7 linked regions of the Macaca mulatta genome follow. The protein of the gene in region 7 interacts with the protein of the main gene of each other region in a biochemical or structural test. Links are inferred from orthologs where the notes say so. Each region holds a gene or a part of one and is shown on either strand. Other genes may lie near its edges. The genes, in order: H1-1, RGCC, USP16, CDC25C, PBK, CREB1 and CDK1.

Evidence for each region.
Region 1: of the proteins of CDK1 (region 7) and H1-1, one has a biochemical effect on the other in vitro, tested with the Homo sapiens proteins (23 studies listed by BioGRID). The link is inferred for Macaca mulatta from reciprocal best matches to the Homo sapiens genes CDK1 and H1-1.
Region 2: of the proteins of CDK1 (region 7) and RGCC, one has a biochemical effect on the other in vitro, tested with the Homo sapiens proteins (2 studies listed by BioGRID and IntAct). The link is inferred for Macaca mulatta from reciprocal best matches to the Homo sapiens genes CDK1 and RGCC.
Region 3: of the proteins of CDK1 (region 7) and USP16, one has a biochemical effect on the other in vitro, tested with the Homo sapiens proteins (3 studies listed by BioGRID). The link is inferred for Macaca mulatta from reciprocal best matches to the Homo sapiens genes CDK1 and USP16.
Region 4: the proteins of CDK1 (region 7) and CDC25C form a complex in vitro, tested with the Homo sapiens proteins (3 studies listed by BioGRID, with this or other methods). The link is inferred for Macaca mulatta from reciprocal best matches to the Homo sapiens genes CDK1 and CDC25C.
Region 5: the proteins of CDK1 (region 7) and PBK form a complex in vitro, tested with the Homo sapiens proteins (2 studies listed by BioGRID and IntAct, with this or other methods). The link is inferred for Macaca mulatta from reciprocal best matches to the Homo sapiens genes CDK1 and PBK.
Region 6: of the proteins of CDK1 (region 7) and CREB1, one has a biochemical effect on the other in vitro, tested with the Homo sapiens proteins (2 studies listed by BioGRID). The link is inferred for Macaca mulatta from reciprocal best matches to the Homo sapiens genes CDK1 and CREB1.

The regions. Positions count from the first base shown.
Region 1 is NC_133409.1:157,091,530-157,094,081, reverse strand, and holds H1-1 (histone H1.1), read right to left. Parts: upstream 1,149-2,552; coding exon 501-1,148; downstream 1-500. UniProt on the Homo sapiens protein: Histone H1 protein binds to linker DNA between nucleosomes forming the macromolecular structure known as the chromatin fiber. Histones H1 are necessary for the condensation of nucleosome chains into higher-order structured fibers.
Region 2 is NC_133422.1:20,846,429-20,850,503, reverse strand, and holds the start of RGCC (regulator of cell cycle RGCC), read right to left. Parts: upstream 2,801-4,075; 5' UTR 2,500-2,800; coding exon 2,451-2,499; intron 1,948-2,450; coding exon 1,762-1,947; intron 1-1,761. UniProt on the Homo sapiens protein: Modulates the activity of cell cycle-specific kinases. Enhances CDK1 activity. May contribute to the regulation of the cell cycle. May inhibit growth of glioma cells by promoting arrest of mitotic progression at the G2/M transition.
Region 3 is NC_133408.1:18,448,037-18,451,520, reverse strand, and holds part of USP16 (ubiquitin carboxyl-terminal hydrolase 16), read left to right. Parts: intron 1-304; coding exon 305-399; intron 400-1,625; coding exon 1,626-1,712; intron 1,713-3,484. UniProt on the Homo sapiens protein: Specifically deubiquitinates 'Lys-120' of histone H2A (H2AK119Ub), a specific tag for epigenetic transcriptional repression, thereby acting as a coactivator.
Region 4 is NC_133411.1:147,191,334-147,194,833, forward strand, and holds part of CDC25C (M-phase inducer phosphatase 3), read right to left. Parts: intron 3,093-3,500; coding exon 3,047-3,092; intron 280-3,046; coding exon 246-279; intron 136-245; coding exon 46-135; intron 1-45. UniProt on the Homo sapiens protein: Functions as a dosage-dependent inducer in mitotic control. Tyrosine protein phosphatase required for progression of the cell cycle. When phosphorylated, highly effective in activating G2 cells into prophase.
Region 5 is NC_133413.1:29,573,026-29,577,130, forward strand, and holds the start of PBK (lymphokine-activated killer T-cell-originated protein kinase), read right to left. Parts: upstream 2,801-4,105; 5' UTR 2,759-2,800; coding exon 2,752-2,758; intron 1,119-2,751; coding exon 1,041-1,118; intron 1-1,040. UniProt on the Homo sapiens protein: Phosphorylates MAP kinase p38. Seems to be active only in mitosis. May also play a role in the activation of lymphoid cells.
Region 6 is NC_133417.1:112,832,371-112,835,870, forward strand, and holds part of CREB1 (cyclic AMP-responsive element-binding protein 1), read left to right. Parts: intron 1-672; exon of another isoform or gene 673-689; coding exon 690-790; intron 791-3,410; coding exon 3,411-3,500.
Region 7 is NC_133414.1:89,039,122-89,043,182, forward strand, and holds the start of CDK1 (cyclin-dependent kinase 1), read right to left. Parts: upstream 2,801-4,061; 5' UTR 2,785-2,800; intron 2,753-2,784; exon of another isoform or gene 2,730-2,752; intron 1,211-2,729; 5' UTR 1,186-1,210; coding exon 1,149-1,185; intron 1-1,148. UniProt on the Homo sapiens protein: Plays a key role in the control of the eukaryotic cell cycle by modulating the centrosome cycle as well as mitotic onset; promotes G2-M transition via association with multiple interphase cyclins.

The sequences.
Region 1 (2,552 bases), on a different chromosome or scaffold from region 7:
CGTGATTAAGCCATGAATTTTGCTTACTATCCCAGAAGCATTTCTTAGGACCACCCAATTTCGGAAAAGGCTACTTTAGCAATATTGACCCAAGAACGCAATGTCCGCACTTTAACCTTGCATAATAAAAAAGCCTCAAGCCTGGGACTAGGCTTCAACCTTGGTTCGTTACAGTTATGACTAATTAGCTTGGGGTCGTGAGATGCGGGACTTCGGGCTACTTAAAAAAAAAAAAAAAAAAAAGCAAAACAGGTGATCTAAAATTCGACTTTAACTCGGTGCATTTGAATTCACCTTGCTATCTTTGATAGCCTCATCTGGCAAGAATTTACTACTCAACCTATGTTAAAGTTCCTATTGACTCTCCAAGTGATTCTAATATAAATGAGGGCGTATTGCATTTGCTTGGGGGAATTTCATCTGTGTACTACAGCTCTTTTCCCGAAGTGTGTAGGTGGCTCTTAAAAGAGCCGTTGGGTTAGTAAAGTTTCCAACCGAATTTACTTTTTCTTGGGTGCCGCTTTCTTGGGTTTGGCAGTCTTTGGCTTCGTCACCTTAGCCTTGGCCGCCTTGGGTTTTATAGCCTTAGTTTTAGCAGGGCTTTTAGCTACTTTCTTGGGTTTTACAGCTTTGGGTTTTTTGGGACTCTTAGAGGATTTCCTTGTTGCCGCAGACTTTTTAGCATTTTTTGGAGTCTTGACGTTCTTTTTGCTAACCCCCGTGGCCTTTTTGGGCTTTTTAGACGCACCCGTTGCCTTGGTTTTTGCAGCCACCCTTGAAGCGCCGGGCTTGGTTTCCACGGAGGATGCCTTCTTGTTGAGTTTGAAGGAACCCGAGGCGCCGGTGCCCTTCGTCTGCACCAACGTTCCCTTGCTTACCAGGCTCTTAATACCCAGCTTAATGCGGCTGTTGTTCTTCTCCACATCGTAGCCTGCGGCCGCCAGCGCCTTTTTAAGAGCAGCCAACGACACACCACCACGCTCCTTAGAGGAGGAAGCAGCCTGCACGATCAGCTCTGACACGGAAGGGCCAGCAGGCTTTTTCTTAGTGGCCACCGCAACCTTAGCAGGTTTCTTTGCCTTCCTGCTAGCTGAAGGTTTCTCAGGAGCAGCAGAAGCGGCGGGAGCGGGAGGCGCCGTTTCGGACATGGTGACTAATACAGCACACCAAGTAAACTGGTATAAACCTGACCAAGCAGGATGCGAGAAAAAAAAGGCCCCGACTCAGCCTATTTATAGGGTGGGACTGCGCAGTGATTGGTGCCCGTCAGTGCCCGCCCCTCGCACCCTAGCGCCCCCTGCGCTCTGCAGAGGGTTTCCCCCAGTCTCAGAGAGCACCTGGGGGCCTCTAGGGCCTATGGTCCCGCTCCCCTCAACGCAAGCAAACACACCGAAAAAGCCGCTCCGATTGCCTCATTGTGAAGGAAATTGTAGGCCGACTGCCACCTAGTAACATCAGAGGGTGCCGCTTGTCTCTCAAAAAGCAGCTCTGTTTTAGGGAGTAGGTTGATGGGGAGCGGTTTGCAAATGCAGCCCCACAAGCATCCAGGGAGTTTTATTAGAAAGTTTTAGAGGTCCGTTGCCAGATATGTTAGTTTTTAATTTGCAAGAAATGTAAAATACAGTGTTTGAATAGTTGGGGAGGAAGAGGAAAGTGCGGGTTTTAGGCCGTGTTAGGGCTAGTAGTCATCAACTCGATTACATTTTCTGGCAATGTTTTAGAGCGATGTGTCTCGCGAATACCTTTCACGTCAAAGAAGAATGAATCGTAGACAACACCAGAATTCACTAACGCTGCAATTAATACTCAAACTGCAAGTGTGGAAACGTTTCTGCACTTGTAACTTACTTCCACAGTCCAATGTGGGATGCACTTCAGGAATTTCCAATGCCCTTTTCATCCATACAACATGCCCCAAATGGGTGTTAAGGTTTACAACCTGTGTTCCATGTCAGCACATGCAATGAGAGCACCATGACATGGTGAACTCATTGTTTTATTCAACAAAGATTTATGGGCCTCACAAACCTGCGAAAGGCGTTAAATGCTGGGTCCAAGAAACTGGTTCCCCGACAGGCATTCTGCTGGGGAGTTAAGTCTCCTTAGTGTGAAAACAAACGGTAAGTGTAAGCACACCCTGGGGATAAGATTTTATGGTAACCTCTCTTTAGCTTGTTTGTGGCTGTTAAGAGCATTTCAAATTATCAATAAGCTAAAACGATCTCACATTGCCAATCAGAGACTCAGCTAACGGGAGAACAAAAAAAACTATTAAATCGACATCCACTTCTACAATCCTATTCTGGATAACCCCCTAACACAGCGGAGAGTGAGGGAATGCGGTCTATTTCCGTTCGTGCTGTTGTAGTTTTTAAATAAGTCCGAACTGTGCTAAGTAACCTGAGCTTTTTCCCTTTTTCTTCAAACAACGTGTCAACCAAATAATTGTAGTAGTCCCAGATAACTATTGTACCCATCTTCTTTACCAGTGTTTCCTACGTCTATTTTATTGAGAAGCCACGCATTCAAATATTTCACGTAATTTCTTAAAA
Region 2 (4,075 bases), on a different chromosome or scaffold from region 7:
TGTGAGAGAAAAACTACACATTTAAAGCAAAGACAAATGTCATCTGAGCTTTCTTTATATTCTTCTCATCACTTCTCTAACCACCAAACTACGGGTTAGTCAGTTAACAACAAAAGCAGAAAACAAAATAGACACATATAACCTAAGTAAAACTACAAACTATCCCAACTATCTCCCCTGCAACTGTTAAGAATGTGTTTCTATGCCTTCTCTTTAAGGCATCTGAAAACAGATCCTAGATCTGAAATCCCACTCAGTGGAAGCTGCAATCAGCCATGAATGGGCACTCTTAGACCTATTCTAGAGGAGTGAAGCTGTTGCTTAGAAAGGAGCTGTTCTTTGCCACAGAGCTGCAGTGACACACTGTCCCAGCTTTCTTTTCCATGGGAGAATCTGTATTTGATGAATAACTTGCTCCATGCCCCAGTAAAAGGAGACATATTTAAGTTTGGCCTTAGGAATTGAGACAAATTTCCAGAATGTAAACACTTCGCTTTGAAACTAAAAATGAACCTGTTCATTAGGAACAAAGTCCAAAAATTCTAAGTGGAAAAGTAACAGTACTTTCTTCCATCCCCTTTCACCTCAAAAGCTGCAGCTTGGTCTAACTCTCTGGCAATGCTGCCAAGGAAACTCAAGCTGGAACTCAGCTTTCTGAGTCAAACCCTGACCAGGGTGGTGAGTGCATTTATCCCTTTGCAGAAGAGCAGCTCACATTCAAGTCTAGCCCCGAATCTTAGCCCAGGAACAAGGAAGAGTTCCAGGTTTCAAAATAAGAGAATCACAAGGAAAGGCCATTACTTTCACGTCCTGAGTCAAGGGCAGCAAAAGGAGTGACATTCATGCCTGTAACCCATCTAGGGATTAAAGGTTGAAGAATAACACAGAAGAGTTTAAAATTGACTTTGCACTTTGAAAAACAGTAAGTAATTCTGGATTTGAAACCAACAATCATGTAATACTAAAAAGGCACCTAATTTGCTGTTTGAATCCTCCCGGGACATGTGAGCTCCTGGGAGAAGCTGTCTCTTGTTGTTGTTGTTGTTGTGTTGTTGACAAAGTTGTTCAGGACAAAGAGACCCTGGGGTAGTCTCCATTGTGAGAAAGGTCACCAGGAAGCACCTTCATGCCCCTGTGCTCTCTGGCTCCCCCTCCAGCCTGGTGGAGGACCTGGCTGAAAAATACTTGAACTCAGCAGTGCCAAAGATTTTCATAACTGCATGCGATGGAGCAACAAGTCTGAGCGCTCAGGGCCAGAAGAAAATGCAAACAGTTACTTCATAAATCCCAGGAACAGCCGTTTGGGCTTATGAAACCTTTCCTGGTTTCATGAATATTTCCGTTCAGCGCCCTCCCATGTCCCCACTGTGCCCCCTCATTCCACTGGCACCTATTCCACATCTGCAAAGTTACAGGGGAGAGGGGAGAGGCACGGGAAAGGAGAAGAGGAGGGAAACTGTGGAAAGGCCTGGTGCAGGTCCAGGGAGTCCTGTCTGGCTCAGTCGGGACAAGCTGCTTAAACTCGCCTGCCTGGTGACACACCTGTGGACGGCAGGTGGACCAACCTGCCCTCCAGCGACCCCTCCCGTGATTATCGTCAGGGGCCCCGCCACTGCTCGGCCTACTGCTTTGAGCTTCAGGACTAGGTTCCTGGACACCATTCCTCAGTTTACAGATAAGAAAACTGAGGCCGCAACCTTCGCGGGCCAGGTGCTGGGAACTGGGAGATCCCGGCGCCATCCTAGCGGGGGCCGCACTTACTCTCCGAGTCGCTGAAGCCGCTGCTGTCGCTGACGCTGGCGCTGCTGCGCCGCTTCATGCGCTCCAGGTGCTCCTCGTAGTGGAAGTGGCGCTCGTGGAAGGGCGACGCGAAGTCGGCCAGCACCGCGTCAAACTCGCACAGCGCGTCCGACAGGTCCTCCGCGGCCGCCGAGTCCAGGGCCGGGGCTGCGGGCAGGGCCGGGGACTCAGTGCACGGAAGTCAGGGGGGCAGCGAGACCACCTCCCAGGGCCAGGAGGGGCCTCCACGGTTCCCGAAGATAACTGACACTTGGCGCCTCTGTCAAGTGACAGCCACGCAGTCGCTGTTACCTGGTAATCTTCTCCACCATCCCCGAAGTGCGTTCTATTACCAAGTCCGTTTTACAGACAAGAAAACGGAGCCTCCGCCAGGCCCAGGGTCACACAGCGACTTGGCGCGGCCAGACTCCTCCCCACGCTCGCCCCAACCCGGGGCGCGCGCGGAGCTGGTGGTGGCGGGAAGGTGGGACATGGGGGCCAGCCCGGGCCGGGAAGGAGGCTGCAGCCGCCCGCGCTGGACGACAGGGGACAGGGTCCCGCCTGGGAGGATGGAAGGGTGGCGGGTGTAAAGGGACGACAGGGGGCGCCTCCTTTCTCACCCGCCATCTGCAGAGCCGGGACTTTAAGGGGACCCCGGACCCCGCACTCACCTGCGGCCGCGGCGGCCGCGGGACTGCCCTGCGCCGCGGGCGGCTTCATGAGGCGGCTCAGCGGGGCCCGGCGTGCGTGGCCTTGGGTCCTGCGAGGTGGCAGCCTGGGCTATTCCGGGGCTCGCTGTCCCGCACACTCCCGCCCTGCCAGTCCCTTCGGCGCTGCGCTCCCGCCGCGCCGCTCCCAGCACGATCCGCGCCAGCCCTCCGGCCGGCCCCGGCTCCTAGATCTTATAGCCGCTGGCGGTCGGGCGGAGGCGGGGCCGGGGCGGGGCTGCGGAGCCGAGGCGACGGGTCTGTCTCCACCGCCCTCCGAGGAGGCCCCTGCCCCCAGGCACCGCCCTCGCCACGCGCCCCTCCTGGAACCGCAGTGACGAGGAGTCGCCGAAGCCCGGGTTACAGCCCCAAATATTTACCCGCCTGTCGCCCGCGCGCCCTGACAACCCGGCCCACGCGGTGTCCTCGGCGTCACCAGAGCTGACTGCTGGGCGCGAGCTCCGCTGCTTCCCGCCGCGTGCCGGGCACCTCCGCGAGTCGCAGTTTCCTCGGCTGTGCAGTGGACGTGGGCATGCAGAGCCTCCCTGGCTGGCGGCGAGGGACGAAGGAGCCCGCGGCCGTGGCCCAATTGGGTGTCGGGGACGCGGAGGTCCCCTCCGCATTGTCCCAAGGGGACTTCCGAGATGGTGGGCGGGCGGAGTGGAGACGGTCGGGGGCGAAAGGAGCAGAAGTTGGGGGAGTCCTGAACTGTTCCCACCGCGGAGCGCGGGGGCTTGAACTACGGTCCAGGACGCTCCCGCCAGCCTGACTTTATCCAGAAGGGGGTTATTATGGGAAGAAACTACTGCGTCCACGCAGCGCGAACCGGGCGCCTTGCAGTGTCCACCGAGTAACGAGCCACCCTGCCCCGCGGCCTGCGGGGGCAGTCCCTGCCCTGGACTCTGCGCTGAGCTAAGCGCTAGTCTCTCGCCGCAGACGGCTAATTAAATGTAGAGCAATTAACATGCAACGTAATGAAACACTCAACCTCTCCTTAGCACTAGAGACGTTTTGAGCGCTCAGCAGCCTTCACGGCAGGAAGTTCTGTCGGGCAGCGCTGCGAGGGCTCTGACCCACAGACTCAGAGGGAAGGAGGCATCTTACGCCGCTGGTCGAGGGCCTCTGAGGCGTCAGGACTTGGTGTGCGCAGTTTCCAGCTCCTGGCAGCAGCCCTGAGCGGTGAAATTATTGCCCCTGTTTTGCCAGCGGGAAAACTGAGACGCAGAGAGGGTAAGTAGCTGGTCAGTCACTTAGTGGTAGAAAGGCAGGTCTGTGTTGTTTGAGAGACACTTTCGGCCTCACTACCCCCTCCTCCTTCCACAGGGGGAAGCTCTGAGTTCCTGCAAGGTGGACAGCTGGGCAGCCAAGAGGAGAAAGAAAGAAAGCAGAGAACCCAGGTCCTGGAAGCAACAGGGCAAGGCATCTGCAGCTTTCATTTTGTCTTTTCCTTCCCTTTTTCTTTATCCCCTTTTACATTCTTTTTTTCTCTCTCTCCATCCCTCATTCTCTTCGACCTGCCCTTGGTACCCACTGGTGATGCCCTGAGCTAACAGACCAGCAGCCAATCTGGGAGCTGAGGCCATGGGGCT
Region 3 (3,484 bases), on a different chromosome or scaffold from region 7:
AAAATATTGTGTCTCTCCACAGTAATTCCACTTTTTTCTTTGATTGTAATCATTCTCAGTTATTACAGTATTTTGATTTCATCAGTCAGAATTTATGGACATTTTTATCTCGTATAAGTACTTATGAAATATCTTTGATTTTGCTTCTTACTCCACAAATTCTACAGTGTTTGTTATCTGGTCCTTCATAGAAAAAGTTTACTGATCCTTGCTTTGGATGTTTGAAATGATTTTATAGTAAACCTGAATGCTGTAGGGGTCCAAAATGATTTTCACCCTGTTAAAAATTTCTTCTTTTCTTTAGGTGAAAGGAAGCATGTTTATACCAATGCCAAAAAGCAGATGCTAATTTCTCTTGCTCCTCCTGTTCTTACTCTTCATTTAAAGAGATTTCAGCAGGTACTCCTTGTTACCCAAAATTTGTTTTAAATATGTAACACCTATTTTGTTTATTACCTATTTTATTCATTACTGTCTCAACATATTACTATGTTTCTTTGGTTTTCTGTTGTTTCTCAACTCTAATGTCAATGAAGTCAGAAAGGGAAAAAAATAGGGGCTAGGCAGAGGCGCATGTGAAGGTGGAGGCACAGTCTCCTCAGATTTCCTAGAATTCATGTTCTTCTTTTTAGTAAGATTGGCATCTTACTTTTATTTCAGGTTAAATAAAATAAAAGACTGGTGTATTACATATATCTCATGCTTAGGAATATTAGCTTATCTTTTCTGTTTTGTGTGTGGCATCTTATTTTTATGGACCCTTGATGAAAAGACAGTGGTGCCTCGGATTGTCATCATTTTGGTGACCTTGTCTTTTCTGGAAAACTTTTGCTATAGCTGTATAACTTCTAAACTGTGTTCCAGATTCCGAAAGTACTTTCAGTATCTTCAGAACGTTTTTCCCCTTGTGGTTGGTATGGGCTTGAGTAATTGGGTGGGCCTTTATTAGCAATTCACTAAGCTTGGTTCGAGCATGAGGCTGAGAGTGCATGTTTCACAGAAAAGTATTATGCTATCGCTGAGTTTTAAGCACTCAGAACCTCTGCTCTAATCTGGCATTTCTGGATGGCTGAAGCAGAAACATTGAGAATTTTCTCACAAGAACAGTTTTTTTTCTTCTTTTTGAAACAGTCTTGTTCTGTCATCCAGGCTGATATGCAATGACACGATCATGGCTCACTGAAGCTTTGACCTGGAGGGTCTCAAGCAATCCTCCCACCTCAGCCTCTATCGTAGGTGGCTACCACCATGTCCAGCTAATTTTTTAATTTTCTTGTAGAGACAGAGTCTCACTGTGTTGCTCAGGCTGGTCTCGAACTCTGGGGCTCAAGTGATCCTCCTGCCTCAGCTTCCCAAAGTGCTGGGATTACAGGCATGTGCCATCGTGCCCAGCTGGGAATAGCTTTCTTAATGTGTTGGTATGTGTTTTTTGTGTGATACATGTGCACTTAGCAAAAGCAAACCAACTTGGAACCAGTTAGTGGTCAGAAAGAATTGAGTCTCCAAAGAAAATTGAACTAGGACTTAATGTTGATATTCTTTTGGACATCAGAGGGGACTTTGGTTTACTTAACCTGTATTGCTTTTCCAGGAAAATAAGTCAATCTGTTATATTTCTCTTTTAGGCTGGCTTTAACCTACGCAAAGTTAACAAACACATAAAGTTTCCGGAAATCTTAGATTTGGCTCCTTTTTGCACCCTTAAATGTAAGGTAAGTGAAAGTGGTCTTTTTCAGGAAAGTCCTTTAAAGTCACATCATAGCTTACTTACCTAATGCTCCAGTAGCAACTCACTTAAGTATGAAGTTGATAACAATTACTGAGTAGAGTGGGTCTTTGATCATTGTACCTTTATAATTTGAAGATTAGTGATGAATCATTTTGAAGAATGGGTTATTTCAGTTAAACGTTTAGAATCCCCTTTATTATGGCACACATTGTCTTGTGAGCTGAAGGCATAAAACTAAAGGTGGGCACATCTATTAATGAATAATCTCAGTTTAATGTGGTTGAATATTAAGGCTGGTGAACATAGATCAGGGGTGGTATACACTTAACCCAGCATGTTGGTGGTTCAGGAATGGCTTTTTAAAGTAAACCGTGCCTCAACTATATTTAAAGAAGGAGTGAAAGTATGATGAATCAAGATGAAATGAGTTTTGCAGGCAGAAAGAACAGCAGGAGTAGAGGCAACAGGGTAAAATAGGATGGTGAGTGCCAGAGACTGGTAATGTATGTAGTTCTAGAGTTTACAGTACAAGGTATGGGGGAGTTGAGAAATGAAGCCAGAGAAGTGAGATAGGAATGAAGGTTTGGAGGGTTCCCATGGTGTAGAACTTGGACTTCATTAGGTATACAGTGGGGAGCCCTGAGGAGTTTAAAGCATTGGGTGGCATGGTCAGATCTGCATATGACATAGGTTACTTATTGACATATGGAGGCTGGATTTTAGGAGGGAAAGACTAGAGGTGGGGAAATGAGTTAGGTGGCTGTTGCATTAATTCAGCCAGTAGTTGATGAGGGCTTAAAGTTGGGCAGGAGATGGGGAGATAGAAAGACTACTTCAGGAGGTAGAATTAACCAGACTTAATGACTGATTGGCACTGGAAGGTGAGGCAGATGCCTTTTGTAAATGGATGCTGAGGGTGTCAGAGAAAGGGTTGAGGATGATTCCTGAGGCCTGGCTTGACGGATGGGAGTGCTGTAAATTGAGGTAGGAAATATAGGGAGAAAAGCAGGTTGAGAAAAGCAGGTAGAAAAAGGATAATAACTTGAGTGTTAGATACATTTGAGTGTCAGATATCTTTGAGAAATTAATGTGCTTAGTCTAGAAAACATTTGGATATACATATCTGAGACCTACAGCAGAGAGGTTAGGACGGGCCCAGGGCAAAGATTTAGAAATCAGTACATATGTGGTGGTTTAAAATATGAGAAGATGGGATCCCTTGTGTATAGTGTCTGAAGAGAGAAAGAGGAGATGGCCAATGACAGGACCCTCCTAAGTATCTGAGTGGAATAGGCAGGGGTAGAAAGTGAGGACGCCACAAACGATCTCAAAGAATCTCCATGTTGAAGAATTTGGGGCTGGGCGTGATGGCGCACGCCTGTAATGCCAACACTTTGGGAGGCCAAGGCAGTTGACTCACTTGAGGTCAGGAGTTCGAGACCAGCCTGGCCAACATGGTGAAACCCTGTCTCTACTGAAAATGCAAAAATTAGCCAGGCATGGTGGTGTGCACCTGTAATCCCAGCTACTCGGGAGGCTGAGGCAGGAGAATCGCTGGAACCCGGGAGGCAGAGCTGCAGTGAGCTGAGATTGCGTCACTGCACTCCTGCCTAGGTGACAGAGCAAGAAACTCTCAAAAAAAAAAAAAAAAAAAAGCTGGGCCAGTAGCTGTGAAGGGCATAATGGAAGAGGCAGCTAAGGACAATTTATAAGATTATAGTCACATTGAGGACTATGACAACGTACATGATCATA
Region 4 (3,500 bases), on a different chromosome or scaffold from region 7:
AAAAATAAAACTGCCAATATATCTAGGTTTCCATTAAACACTCACATTTTCTTTATTTGCAGATAAGCTACACATTGCATCTCTCTTTCTATGGCCACGGTCCAAACCATTCGGAGTGCTACAGAGAAGCTGTGCCTAAAAAAGAGTTTGCTGAGAACGTCCCGCATCAAGTCACAGGTGCAATGGAAACCCTCTGTCTCCCACCTGAAAAGCAAACCCAAACCCAAAAAAGAGAGGCTACTCACTGGGCTACATTTCATTAGGTGCTGGTGATGATTCCTGCAGATTAAAACAAACTGCCTGTCAGGTTAGCCCCAAATACTGTTTGATTATTCTTCAGTGGATTTGGTGCATCCCAACATTTTTAAAATTTCATTCTAGGAGCCCTATTCCCAGTTGATATGTCTCTTCCAACAACAATACATAGGGTATTCTCTGTGGTAAATATGAAGACTCAAGTGATATCTTGGGGATAAGACCCTCATTTTGCCTGTATAACCATATAAATAAACATGTACCAAAGATGAACGAGTTTTATACAATTTACTAATTTTCCAGCACAGTGTATTGGGGCTAATTTTTTTTTTTTTTTTTTTTTTTTGAGACAGTCTGGTTCTGTCACCCAGGCTGGAGTGCAGTGGCAGGATCTCAGCTCACTGCAAGCGCCGCCTCCCAGGTTCACGCCATTCTCCTGCCTCAGCCTCCTGAGTAGCTGGGACTACAGGCGCCCGCCACCACGCCCAGCTAATTTTTTGTATTTTTAGTAGAGACGGGGTTTCACCATGTTAGCCAGGATGGTCTCAATCTCCTGACCTTGTGATCCGCCCGCCTCAGCCTCCCAAAGTGCTGGGATTACAGGCGTGAGCCACCGTGCCGGCCAGGGCTAATTTTTTAAAAAAATTTAATTTCTGGCCGGGCGGGGTGGCTCACACCTGTAATCCCAGCACTTTGGGAGGCTGAGGCGGACGGATCACCTGAGGTTGGGAGTTCGCGACCAGCCTGACCAACACAGAGAAACCCGTCTCTCTACTGAAAATACAAAATTAGCTGGGCGTGGTGGCGCATACCTGTAATCTCAGCTACTCGGGAGCCTGAGGCAGGAGAATCTCTTGAATCCGGGAGGGGGAGGTTGTGGTGAACCGAGATCGCGCCACTGCACTCAAGCCTGGGCAACAAGAGCAAAACTCCGTCTGGAAGAAAAAAAAAAAAAAGCCCGGCGTGGGGGCTCATGCTTGTAATCCCAGCACTTTGGGAGGCCGAGGCGGGCAGATCACGAGGTCAAGAGATCGAGACAATCCTGACCAACATGGTGAAACCCCGTCTCTATTAAAAATACAAAAATTGGCCGGGCGCGGTGGCTCAAGCCTGTAATCCCAGCACTTTGGGAGGCCGAGACAGGCGGATCACGAGGTCAGGAGATCGAGACCATCCTGGCTGACACGGTGAAACCCCGTCTCTACTAAAAAATACAAAAAAACTAGCCGGGCGAGGTGGCGGGCGCCTGTAGTCCCAGCTACTCGGGAGGCTGAGGCAGGAGAATGGCATGAACCCGGGAGGCGGAGCTTGCATGAGCCAAGATCACGCCACTGCACTCCAGCCTGGGCGGCAGAGCGAGACTCTGTCTCAAAAAAAAATAAAAATAAATAAAAAAATAAAATAAAAATACAAAAATTAGCTGGGCATCGTGGCGTGTGCTTGTAGTCCCAGCTACTCGGGAGGCTGAAGTGAGAGAATCGCTTGAACCTGGGCGGCGGAGGTTGCAGTGAGCTGAGATCAGGCCACTGCACTCCATTCTGGCAACAGAGTGAGACTCCATCTCCAAAAACAAAACAAACAAAACAAACAAAAAACATATCTATATATAAATTTCTATCCTCCCTCTGTGGATTTCATTATCTATCTGGGTTAGAGCATTTAAAGCAATTCAGGCGGGGCCAGGTGACTCCCATCTGTAATCCCAGCACTTTGGGAGGCCGAGGGGGTTGCTGATCACTTGAGGTCAGGAGTTCAAGAGCAGCCTGGCCAACATGGTGAAGCCTCATCTCTACTAAAAATACAAACATTAGCCAGGCATGGTGGTGGATGCCTGTAATCCCAGCTACTCAGGAAGCTGAGGCAGGAGAATCGCTTAAATCGCTTGAACCCAGGGAGGCAGAGGTTGCAGTGAGTCAAGATGGCGCCACTGCACTCAATCCTTGGCAACAGAGCCAGACTCCATCTCAAAAATAAAAATAAATACATAAATAAAATGCTTGGTATGTGTTAGATACACAGTTTATTTAATCCTTACAATAGCTACTTTATGACAAGTGCTATTATTGTCTCCATGTTACAAATAAAAAAAATTAAGGTCTAAAGCAGAGTCACAACTGGTGAATGAAGTAGTAAGCCAGGAATCCAGACACTGATTCCAGAGCCTACACTCTGTACTTTCTTTTTTCTTTTCAACACGCAGTCTCGCTCTGTCGCCCAGGCTGGAGGGCAGTGGTGCGGTCTCTGCTCACTGCAACCTCCGCCTCCCGGGCTCAAGCAATTCTCCTACCTCAACCTCCCAAGTAGCTGCGATTACAGGCATGTGCCACCCCACCCGGCTAATTTTTGTATTTTTAATAGAGACGGGGTTTCTGCATGATGGGCAGGCTGGTCTTGAACTCCTGACCTCATCTGATCCGCCTGCCTTGGCCTACCAAAGTGCTGGGATTACTACAGATGTAAGCCACCGCGCCTGGCCACTCTGTACTTTGAATTACTAAGATACAGCACTTTTCACATTCAAATAAAAGCCTATATAAGTGTAGTATACCATTTTCCTTCATTTCCTTATAGATACTTCTGATTATGACAGTTAAAATGAATAGCCTTCATTTTCACAACACTATTTAGATCTGGAAACCTTAGAAACTGTTCAAGGTAAGGAACTAGGCCTCAAAGCCCACTTATACCCAATATGAAAGGTTTTGCACTCTGCAGAGTCCGCACAGGATAAAATCTCTATGACCAGTGCTAAAAAGCTTTTGCATGGGGTTCATTTAGCAACAGAACTTACATCCCAGCTAAATGCACTTCCTGAAGTCCTGAAGAATCCAGGTGACCTGCAATCAAATATAAAAAATCAGTAAAAGGAGTTATTTTTGTCCATGCATCTTGTTTTTCCTTCAGATTTTCTTCATTACCAGTAAGCCATATTAATTTCAAGGACTGAGCTTTTGAATACAAAGCCTCTCGATTGATACCCATTTCATAGTACAAGGTACAATTTCACAGAAACTTAAGGTTTTATGTGTCACTAAAAGAAGTAGTGCTGGGAAACACTGTACTTTGCTACCTACGGAGTTTTTTTTTTTTTTTTTTATGAGTAGAAAAGAAAGATTATCACTCAGAAAATCTGAAATTAGAATTCTGGAAGGTTAACTTATGAAACATTCCTTTTGGAATATTTTATATAAAACATATAAGAATTAAATGACAATGTATTTCTTTTTCTTTGAGACGCAGTCTCG
Region 5 (4,105 bases), on a different chromosome or scaffold from region 7:
AATACTAAAACTAGACAGATATCCCAAAAAGACAACTGCAGTCCAATATCCCTCATGAATATAGACAATATGAGCAAATCAAGCAATACATAAAATATATCGTAACCAAACTGGCTTTACACAAGGAATGGTCAGTTTAACACTTGAAAATTAACATAATTTACCACATTAAGAGATTTTAAAAGGAAATGTAATAGATTCAGAAAAAGCGCTCTACAAAGTTCAATACCCACTCACGATAATAACTAGAAATAGAAGAAAACTTCCTCAAACTAATAAAGGGCATTTGTGAAAAACCTACATCTAACATAATACACTGGGAACAAGGCAAGTATTATCCACTAACGTTTCTATTCAAAAACATACTGAAGGCAGTGCAATTAAAAAAAAGTAAAAGAAACAAAGCCATACAGACTGGGGAACAAAGTAAAACTGTCTTTATTTATCCACAAATGACCAACCATATACAATATCCTAAGCAATCTATTAAAAAGCTAATGGAATAAGTGAGTTTAGGATGGTTGCAGGATACAAGGTCAATATGAAAAATCTGTCACTAGAAATGGACAACAGAATATTTTCTCATGTTATTTTCTAGAAATTTAACTTTAGCTATTTTTTATATAATGGGAGTTAAGGGTCAAGGCTTATTTTTTGCACATGGATATCCAGGTGTTTGTTGAAAAGATTGTCCTTTGTCCATTGAGTTGCCTTGGAAAATATCTTTCCCTCATAAGAGCGATGTATGGATGAGAGGGAGAAAGGTAAAGCAGTTCTTTAATGGGTCAAGCTAAGTTGATTATTGAGCAGGGAGAGCCTCCAAACCTGTTAGATTGTCAATAAAATTAGTCCAGATATGATCAAACCCTGACCTATAAAATGTCTTATTTGTTAATATTAACATCATAAAGGGGATTTACGCTAAAGTTTCTAAGTGACCGATAATAAAGAATCAAACTAAATATTACTAGGACATTTCTAAGAGAAACAACAATAGTAATAGTAAAAAAAAAAAAAAAGTCTTACATCTGCTATCTTACCAGATTTCTTTTTTTCTGATAATTTGCATGGTGTCTTGAAATTACTGATCCCTTCCATTGTGACAACCACTCTCAGTCCTATGATGAAAACAAATTGTAAGTTACACAGCAGATACAAAGAATACAACTCTCATTCATGAAGAAAAATGCCTATAGCTGGGCACAGTGGCTCATGCCTGTAATCCCGGCACTTTGGGAGGCTGAGGTGAGTGGATCATCTGAGGTTGGGAGTTCGAGATCAGCCTGACCAATATGGAGAAACCCTGTCTCTACTAAAAATACAAAATCAGCCAAGCGTGGTGGCGCATGCCTGTAATCCCAGCTGCTCGGGAGGCTGAGGCAGGAGAGAATCGCTTGAACCCGGGAGGTAGGGGTTGCGGTGAGCCAAGTTCGTGCCATTGCATTCCAGCCTGGGCAATAAGAGTGAAACTCTGTCTCACCAAAAAAAAAAAAACACAAACAAAAAAAAATGCCTATAACATTATCACTCATTTTATCACAAACAAAATTTGAGAACTAAAAAAGACCTCAACAAACATTTCGTCCAATTTTACTTAAAATGAGGAAACTAAAACCAAAAAGTATAATTAGTTACCCCTGTCATAATATTAGTGATTGGGTATTTTTAATTATAAAGTAATATATGCACTTAGCTAAAAAAAAAAAAAAATCACCTAGTACAACAAGGTAATCAGTATGTCTCCCTCTCACACTTCCCAGGAGTAGTTGTTAACAGGTCTCTTATATCCTTTAAGGAAACTGTGCAAGCAGCATTTTTCATAACAGTCAAAAGGCAGAAACAACAGAACTCTCCATCAGATGATGAATGGATAAACAAAATATGTGACATAGCTATACAATGGAATATTCAGTCATAAAAAGGAATAAAGTGCCAATATATACAAGAATGAACCTTGAAAACATTATACTAAAGAAGCCAGACACATAAAGGCTACATATATGATGATACCATTTTTTTTTTTCTTGAGACCAAGTCTGGCTCTGTCACCCAGACTGTAGTGCAGTGGCGTGATCTAGACTCGCTGCAACCTCTGCCTCCCAGGTTCAAGCGATTCTCCTGCCTCAGCCTCCTGAGTATCTGGGACTACCGGCACCCACCACCACGCCTGGCTAATTTTTATATTTTTGGTAGAGATGGAGTTTCACCATATTGGCCAGGCTGGTCTTGAACTCCTGACCTTGTGATCCACCCACCTGGGCCTCCCAAAGTGCTGGGATTACAGGCATAAGCCACCGTGCCCATCCAATGATCCCATTTTTAGGAAATGTCCAGAACAGGCAAATCATGGAGACCAAAAATAGCTGAATAGTTGCTAGGGGTGGGGAGACAAAGAATGTGGAATGACTGCCAGTGGGTATGGGGATTCTTTCTGGGGTGATGAAAAGGTTCTAAAACCAGATAATGGTTTGATATATTAATCTCTGAGTATACTAGAAACTACTGAATTTTACACTTTCAAAAGATGCATTTTTATGATACATCAATTATCTCAATAAATGGTTATAAAAATTGTCTGTGAAAATAAAATGAGGCCGGGTATGGTGGCTCACACCTGTAATCCCAGCACTTTGGGAGGCCAAGGCAGGCGGATCAGTTGAGGTCAGGAGTTCGAAACCAGCCTAGCCAACATGGCGAAACCTCGTCTCTACTAAAAATACAAAAAAATTAGCCGGGCATGGTGGCCTGTACCTGTCATCCCAGCTACTTGGGAGGCTGAGGCAGGAGAATCGCTTGAACCTGGAAGGTGGAGGTTGCAGTTTGCCAAGATCACGCCACTGCACTCCAGCCTGGGCAACAGAGCGAGATTCCATCTCAAAAAAAAAAAAAGAACGAAAGAAAAGAAAATGTACATACCACATATATAAACAAAGCAACTCAATGTGTTTCTTCCTTCTATAACATATTTAAGAATTTTTTTATTTTAAAAATTATATTTCTTTTTAAAAAATCAGGTTTCCTATTAGATTTATTTATTATAAAGCAAAACTGTTCCTACATGTCTATAAGCTCATTTATCTATATAAAAAGTTGGGAAGAAGGGGGATTTGCTTAAATTTTTTATGGAGCCCTTAATAATAGCATCTTTAAAAACTGCATAGTAAGGGGAAGAAAATCATCTCAAAGGCCTAGCTTTAACTGTCTATTAATGACAAGTTTGTTCATCTTGTTTAAAATGTAGCTACAATCACTACTGTCTTTAGATTTACCTGTACTGAGAACACTGAAGAGCCCCTTTACATGTATTTGTCAAGAATATAATAATTTTATGAAGTGATGCATTTAACTTGAAGGCAGGACAGCAGAATTTCTGAAACCAGTTTCAGAACTTTGGGGAAGGATAAACTATTTAGCAGAGTGGTTGCAGGAGGTATTTCTACTTCAAAACCAGTTTCAGAACTTTGGGGAAGGATAAACTATTTAGCAGAGTGGTTGCAGGAGGTATTTCTACTTCAAAACCAGTTTCAGAACTTTGGGGAAGGATAAACTATTTAGCAGAGTGGTTGCAGGAGGTATTTCTACTTCGGAAATAATTTCCCCATGTCATTCTGACTCCCCTTCTTCCATCTGTGTTATCTTTCCCCACAGGACGCTGTGATGTGGCACCTCAAAGATCTTCTAAGACTTTTTTTTTTTTTTTTTTTTTTTGGAGACAGTTTCACTCTTGTTGCCCAGGCTGGAGTGAAATGGTGCAATCTCGGCTCACTGCAACCTCTGCCTCCCAGGTTCAAGCAATTCTCCTGCTTTAGCCTCTCAAGTAGCTGGGATTACAGGCATGTACCACCATGCCCAGCTAATTTTTTGTATTTAGTAGAGACGGGGTTTCACCATGTTGATCAGGCTGGTCTCAAACGCCTGACCCTTAGGTGATCCACCTGCCTCAGCCTCCCAAAGTGCTGGGATTATAGGCGTGAGCCACCGTACCCAGCTTTCTCTAAGATTTCTATCTACCTGTGTGAAGCTACTCTTCATTCACTCAATCAATATGCACACACTGAGCACATACTATGTGCTCTAACAGTGCACTGTTCTACACTTTGGAAAT
Region 6 (3,500 bases), on a different chromosome or scaffold from region 7:
TGACTCGGGTGAGTTACTACTTTGTATCTTAGTTCTTCCATCTATGGAATGCATATAATAGTATAGTACCAAAATTTTTATTCACTTTATTACTTTTCAGTCTAGGGATTCTTCTCAGAAATGCATAGTTCTTTACCTTGAATTTTTACTTAAACATGATTATAGAATGCTAACTTTGAAACATGTTAGGAGTTTTTCCTAACTTGCTAGGAACAACTGTCAGGGATGTGATGATGGATCGCCAGTCTTACTGTATAACTGTAAATATATTCATAAGTGTTTATAAAGTTAAAGAATAATATTTGTATAGTCACTATATAGACTTAGTACCAAATATTTAGCCATCCATTTTATCCCTTATATCAGAAACCTTATTTTAGTTGGTAGTTTTGTTCCAACAGATGTAAGAAAAAACTGATAAGTAATACTGATGCATTCAGGATTGATTACATGGAGTCCTGAAAAAAAATTAAACTGTAGCTATTTTAGGTTCTCTAACTTCATCTTAGTTTATAGGGTAAGTAAAGGGAAGGGGAGAGTGATTGGTATGGTTGTCTCCCATAAGAACTGATTTTTTTCTACTGAAGCATGTATAAAGTTTATATATGACTTTTTGTATTTGACTGTTTAACAAAAATTTTATAGGAACTAAATTTGATTATCAAGATAAAGTTTTTATTTATTTTCAGATTTCAACTATTGCAGAAAGTGAAGATTCACAGGAGTCAGTGGATAGTGTAACTGATTCCCAAAAGCGAAGGGAAATTCTTTCAAGGAGGCCTTCTTACAGGTATGGATTTTAATAGTTAGAATCTAAGATGTGTAGGAAGTCTTAGGTAGTTGCAGATAAAGAGATGTCAGAAGACCAGTTAGTTGCTCAGGTCAGTTCTTTATAGATTACTTTTCTTCATCTTGAGTTATTTGTCTCAAATAAAGTGAAGCTTATCCTACAGAATAAGAAGAGCACTTGTTACTCTCACCAGTCCTGATTTTTTTTTTTTTTTCTGTTTCTGTAGACTGTGCTGGCTGTCTTTCTGTTGAAAAATGTGGAATACATTTAATAAGGTTATAGCATTTTTTAGTTATAAGCCAACTCTGAGGCTCCGTTATTTATCTGCTTAATAACACATTGCAAACCATTTTTTATGCCATGGTGTTTAACAGATAGCTATTAATTTGATAATTGTCTCAGGAAGATGCTTTACTAACATCCCCTAATTTTAGGGGTAGTTTACTGTAATTTTTGTGTTCAGTTATTGTTGTTGCCTAGTCCATGCCTTGCCTCCAAGGTGAACCAAAACCGTTTTTTAGTGTAAAAATTAGCTCCACATTAAGTATCCCAGGAAGGACAGTTCCATAAATCTTGACACGTTTACTTGAGCATTTAAGAAACTTCAGACTCATAATTATCTTCCTTCTTGTTAGTGTAAATTATTTTTATTTTTATATATTTCTGTTTTTCAAAGGGGTAGTTTTTTCCCCCCGCTTGGCTATTAAACTAACCCCTTTCTCTGTCCTTACAATTAAATTAAGAATCCTAAGTGACTCACAATAAATTGATTTTGAGGTCTAAGAAATCTTATATTACCAGTATATGTTATATGTATTTATATTCATAATTTATTTTAAGTACAGCTAGTGTTAGATTTTAACTTTGAAGTGTATCTCATGTTAGTATATAACACATTTGATCCTGAAGCAAATCCAACCAAATACTACTAGTAAAGTAATTACCTAGGTAAATATAAAAGCCAGGATTATTATAGTTTTGGTTTGTAACTCCTTTTTTCCTATGTGATTTGAAAGACAAAGGCATAAAACAGTAACTATAAATTTATGTGAATAAGCACATGATATAGGAAGATGTCATTTTTTATAATAGCATAAAGGGACAGAGTTTATAACTATTTTGTTACAAATTTAAGATATCAAAAATTACTTGGGTTGGGGTTTTTAGGGGGTTTTTTCCCCGCCTTTCAGTGTGATTATGTTGTTCACTTGAAATATGGTATGGTTCTTCTGTTTTGGGGTTCCATTTTAGAGTTTCTCCACTCATCCTTGTCGCTTTTTTTTTCCTAGTGAGTGAAACATTTAACACTGTACCAAAAGTCAGAATTGCACAAAAAAGTATACTCAGTAGTGCCTCCCCATTCCTTCTGTCGTTTTCATTTCTTTCCTACCCATCCCCAGTAAATAGCTAAAATCATTACTTTCTGGTTTATCCATCCCGATTTTTTCTCTTGAACAAATGAGCAGGTACATGTACATTTTCTTATTTCCCTTTTTTCCTTACACAAAAGATATGCTATATCCATTATTTGGATGTACCATAGTTTATTCAACCACTCGCCTATATATAGGCATATAGAGTGTTTCCAGTATTTATTTTCCTTTTTATTTTTTTTTTTTCTATTTTAGACTTTGGATATATATCTCCACTATTCTGCAGTTACAAACAGTGCTAATGGAAATAATCTTAAGCGAGTTTATTTTCATATTGTTGGAATTGGGGTGAATTCCTGGAAATGGGATTGAGGCATGAACACCTATATTTCCTTAAATTTCACCAATTCCTTATATCGGGGTTGTGCCAGTTTCATACTCCCAGCAGCAATGTATGAGAGTGTGGGGGTTTTTTTGTAGCTTTGCTAACAGATATTGTTAAACTTTTTTGTTTCCCAATCTGAAAAGTGAGAATTTAAAAATCAGGTTTTGATCTTTTTTCCCCCTTAATTGATTGTTGACTTTTTACTTTCCGACTGTGTGTGTGTGTTCTTTGAGATGCAAAAGATTTTTTTTAATGTAGTCAGTCTTATTATTACCCTTAATTGCACCCTTCCTTACGTTGATATTAAAGAGAATCCATCTTTTTTTTTTTTTGTACTTACTTGGGTTCATTTTGACGTCTAGATCAATCCCTGACCCATGAAGAGTTTATTCATGTAATTTATATATTTTAAACTTCTGCTGGCTGGGTGCAGTGTCTCACACCTGTAATCTCAGCACTTTGGGAGGCCAAGGCAGAGGCGAGCAGATCACCTGAGGTCAGGAGTTCGAGACCAGCCTGGCCAACATGGTGAAACCCTGTCTCTACTAAAAATACCAAAAAAATTAGCCAGGCGTGGTAGCAGGCACCTGTAATCCCAGCTACTCGGGAGGCTGTTGTGGGAGAATTGCTTGAACCCGGGAGGTGGGGGTTGCAGTGAGCCAAAATCGTGCCACTGCACTCCAGTCTGGGCAACAGAGCAAGGCTCTGTCTCAAAAAAAAAAAAAAAAACAAAAAAAAACAAAAACCTTCTGTCCTAAGCACTACCAGCTTTCTGTCAGTTTTCTCATCTTTAACTATTATTTGTATTTATCCAGTAAATTTTACTTATATTTTTAATTATTCTAGTTTTCTAATTTTGTAGGAAAATTTTGAATGACTTATCTTCTGATGCACCAGGAGTGCCAAGAATTGAAGAAGAGAAGTCGGAAGAGGAGACCTCAGCACCTGCCAT
Region 7 (4,061 bases):
TAATGGATTACATTTAAAATTACATTCTTAACTGCTCTTATTTATGGTAGCAATTAAAGTACTTTTCTCAGAAGTCAAATCTGTAGTTTCCTATAGGTTTGGAGTTCTATCATCTTAAAGAAAAATATATTTATACTTTAAGAAGGTCTCTTTTTATGCCAAACTGAAATCAACACAAATTCCCTGGGAATTTAAGAAACATACTACAAAGCATTAGACATACTAATCACATTATTTTTAATTCAGCAGCAAAATGTGTTTAGTAGAATGGGTATGAGGTATTTAATTTGTTTAAAAATAAAAATAAATACACACACACACCCCTCCAATCGAACACCACACTAACTTGTCATTCCTATTTCACTAAATTCCCTCCAGTATTCCCCCCTTGTTTTTTTACTATTTCTTGTCAAGTGAGGTCTTTGATCACATTAAAAATATAGTTGTGAATTTCCTTCTGGCAGAACCGATATAAACTGGATTCTACTAGCAAATTATTTTGTACCTGGAGAATTGAGAATGTTCTGTTGGAGTCAAGGAACAGGCGAAGGGATATACCCCTCATTTGTGCCATATATAGATCTGATCATTCCTTCAAGTACCACAGAAAGGGAATGATTATATACGTAAGTTATAGTTTTAGAATAGCTTAAACATGTACATATGACAGGTCATTTTTTTCTTACGGTAACTAAATAGAAATTTTATTTAAATTAGATTAAGTCAATTATTGTAACCAGTCTATAAAGGCTGGATAAGAATATTTATCATCCTAAAAATAATTGAAAGAGACTAAAAATAGACTATGAAATTAGCATAATTCTGCATCCCTAACCTCTGCCCCTCAACACATGTGCAAGTCATCAATAGTGTCTTCAAAATACAAGTATTTCTGATACTTCTTTAGTATCAGAAGACTGTAAGACTATGGGGGTGAAGGGATGGGTCATTAGGGATTCAGTAATTTCAATTCTCTTGAAATGTGAACAAATTTGCGTTTATTAAGTAAAGAACATATATTAATGCACACTGGTACTACAAGACATCTTAATGGTTGAATTTTAATAAATATTTACATGTGTTCATATTACAGAAGTTGTAGCATTGTTAAATCATCCCCAAAAATTTATATTACTAAAACCACTCACCTTCTCCAATTTTCTCTATTTTGGTATAATCTTCCATAGTTAGTCAATGGGTATGGCAGATCCTAAAATGAAGGAAAAACTGACTTAATTACATGCCACTAACTTGAGTAGTTTTTAGCATTACACTATATGTAAAGCATTTTCCACTGTGCCTACTGCAGTACATAAGTATTCCATAAATATTAACTACATTCAAACAATATTTACAAGGGTAAGGACTCCTACAATAACTTTCCATCCTTCTGGACTCCTGAGACATTGGAAACGTGTATATTCTATACTAGTGTAGTATTTATTTAGCTTCTTCCAATCAAAATAACCCTCAAATTCAGATATCAACTTGTCTATTCTTTCCAAAGAAAAACCAGAATTATGTTCCCTTGTTGTGACACTAGTATCTGAGTGTGCCAAAGTTATACCCAAATATTTCAACAAATTTATACCGCTTTATGATATTTCTAATTTTATTCAAAACACTATTTTTTATAGTTATAAGGGGAGAACTAAAATGTGTTCAGATTGTTCATTAGGAAAATTTTGTTTAAAGCGGCAAAAACATTTTAAGCGTTTCCAGTTGCCCACGTGACAATTTTAATCTTTTTTTCCTCTGCTTGCAGAGGTCACAAACATGCTCAAGACTTTCAAGGTACTTTTTCCAAGAGTCGGAAATATCACTTAAGCACCCTAAAACAAAAGAATGAAAAGTGCAATTCCACAGATAAAATTCTAATTATAGCCTACACAATGTCAAGGACTAAGCAGAAAAACTGTATACCTGAATCACAATGAATGGGTTTAAAAAAAAAACAAAAAACAACCAGAAGTTCAAGACTTCCTCTGAAGTTTGTCAATGAAACGTCAGAACTCCAGGCATAATTACCTAGATTTTTCTAACACCCATCACTGATGATAAGATCATTTATAAAGCCCGCTCTGAACAGACCTTTAAGTTCTATTTCCCACATTCATCTTCAAAGAAAAAAATCAATCCAGAAAGAAGCAGAGATATATCTTTTTAAATGAAAAAAACTGCACTACACTGCTCATGAGTGTTAAGTGCCTGGGCTGAGTGTTCTTAACAGCTCCAGGTGGGCCGGGGCCGTGGGCAGAGCAAGCCCCAGAAGGCCCACGAGTTCCGGGATCGGTTTCTCAGGGCAGCCTCGCTTTAGGAATCTGCGCCTGTACCTGGCCCAGGTGCGGTCCCGCTTTCCCACCTCCGAGGCGGGATGGGAGGGCGCTCAGGGGCCGGGCCCAGGAAGGAGCCTGCCACTCCGCTGGCGCTCAGTGTGGGGGAGCGGATTTTGCTTCAATCAAGACCCGAAAGCCTCCTAAGGCAGTTCCTAAACAGCCGACCTGAACTCACGACTGCAGCCCCGAACCCCCACCCCCACCCCCACGCCGCCTAACCCCGCCAGGCTGGGCTCCCATAGCCTCCCTCTAAAGCCGGCGCAGTGTGGTTCACACGCCCAGGCCCAGGCAAAGGCCCTGCCCACCCCACCCCGAGGCCCAGCCTGGCTCCGCGCAGGTCCCTGCTCTCCAGTCCGGCCTTCTTAGAGGAGGACCCCGTTCTTCAATACTCGCCCTTCGAGGTCCCCGGGCCATCCGCTAGACACGACCCTGACCCCAGCCACTGTACCCGGCTTATTATCCCGCGGCGGCCGCAGCGGCAGCTACCACAACCGCGTAACTCTCCGCTCAACTTCCAAGAGCCAGCTTTGAAGCCAAGTGCGAGCAGTTTCAAACTCACCGCGCTAAAGGACCCCGGATCCACCAATCGGGTAGAACGTAGACTTTCAAAGCAGCCAATCAGAGCCCAGCTACGCTAGGCTGGCCTTCCCGGGTGTCTAGAGCGCGAAAGAAAGAGGAAAGGGCGGCTAGAGAAAAAGCAGGAGGGCGGGCGCCAACTGAGTGCGAGCGCAAGCGCTCTCCTCCAGCCGGGAGAGTGTCGTCCTACTGTTTCTAGTCAGCGGAGCAGGAAACTACTGTTCGCTCCGTTCTTCTTTTAAATTTTTTCTCTGAGCATTGGCACAGTTCAAAATTATTATCCTCAAAATAGCTCATCAAAAAAGTGATATTGGGTTTACATCGAGATTCCATTACTTTCACTTCTAATACTTAGGGTTAGGAGTGTATAGTTATGTTTTTCTAAATGCGTGATTTGCGGGCTGGCTCCAAGGAGCACCTTTCAGTGACCTTAAGAAGGTAATGGAAAACTTAAAAGACTGTCTCAAAACTGTAAAGGAAGATTTATTATTTATATCGCTGTGCTTTGTTTCTACCTCATTTTTGAATTTAATATTAAATTATTTTATTATTTACATTTTGTGTATTATGCAATTAAAAACATTTGAAATGTAAATTTTAAAATATTTTCACATCAGAATTTTAAATATATAGAGAGAGGCATGTATTTAGAGCCTGGGTTTCATTATGCTATGCATGCTGGCCTCCAACTCCTGGGCTCAAGCAATCAGCCTCAGCCTCCAGCGTAGCTGTGACTACAGGCACCCGCCACCATGACCAGCTTAAATATTATTAAAACACAAAAATTCACAATTCTATGAGGGGAGAAAAAGAGGTTTAAATTATGCTTTAAATAATCCAGTGTCAAAAACTCTGTCTTCATTGCCATCCACAATATCCTTAAGACAGATTTCTGCATTTAATGCAGTTAATTTTTTTCTTGTTCTTTCCTTCTTTCTCTCTTTCTTACTTTTTTTTTTTTTTTTTTTTTTTTTTTTTTTTTTGCCTGTTTGTTTGCAGAGACGGTGTCTCCTTATGTTGCTCTAGCTGGTCTCCAACTCCTAGGCTCCAGCAATCCTCCTGCCTTGGCCTCCCAAAGTGCTGGGATTACAGGTGTGAGCCACCAGCCCAACCTAAACACCATTCTAAAATCTTTTTAAAATAAACAAA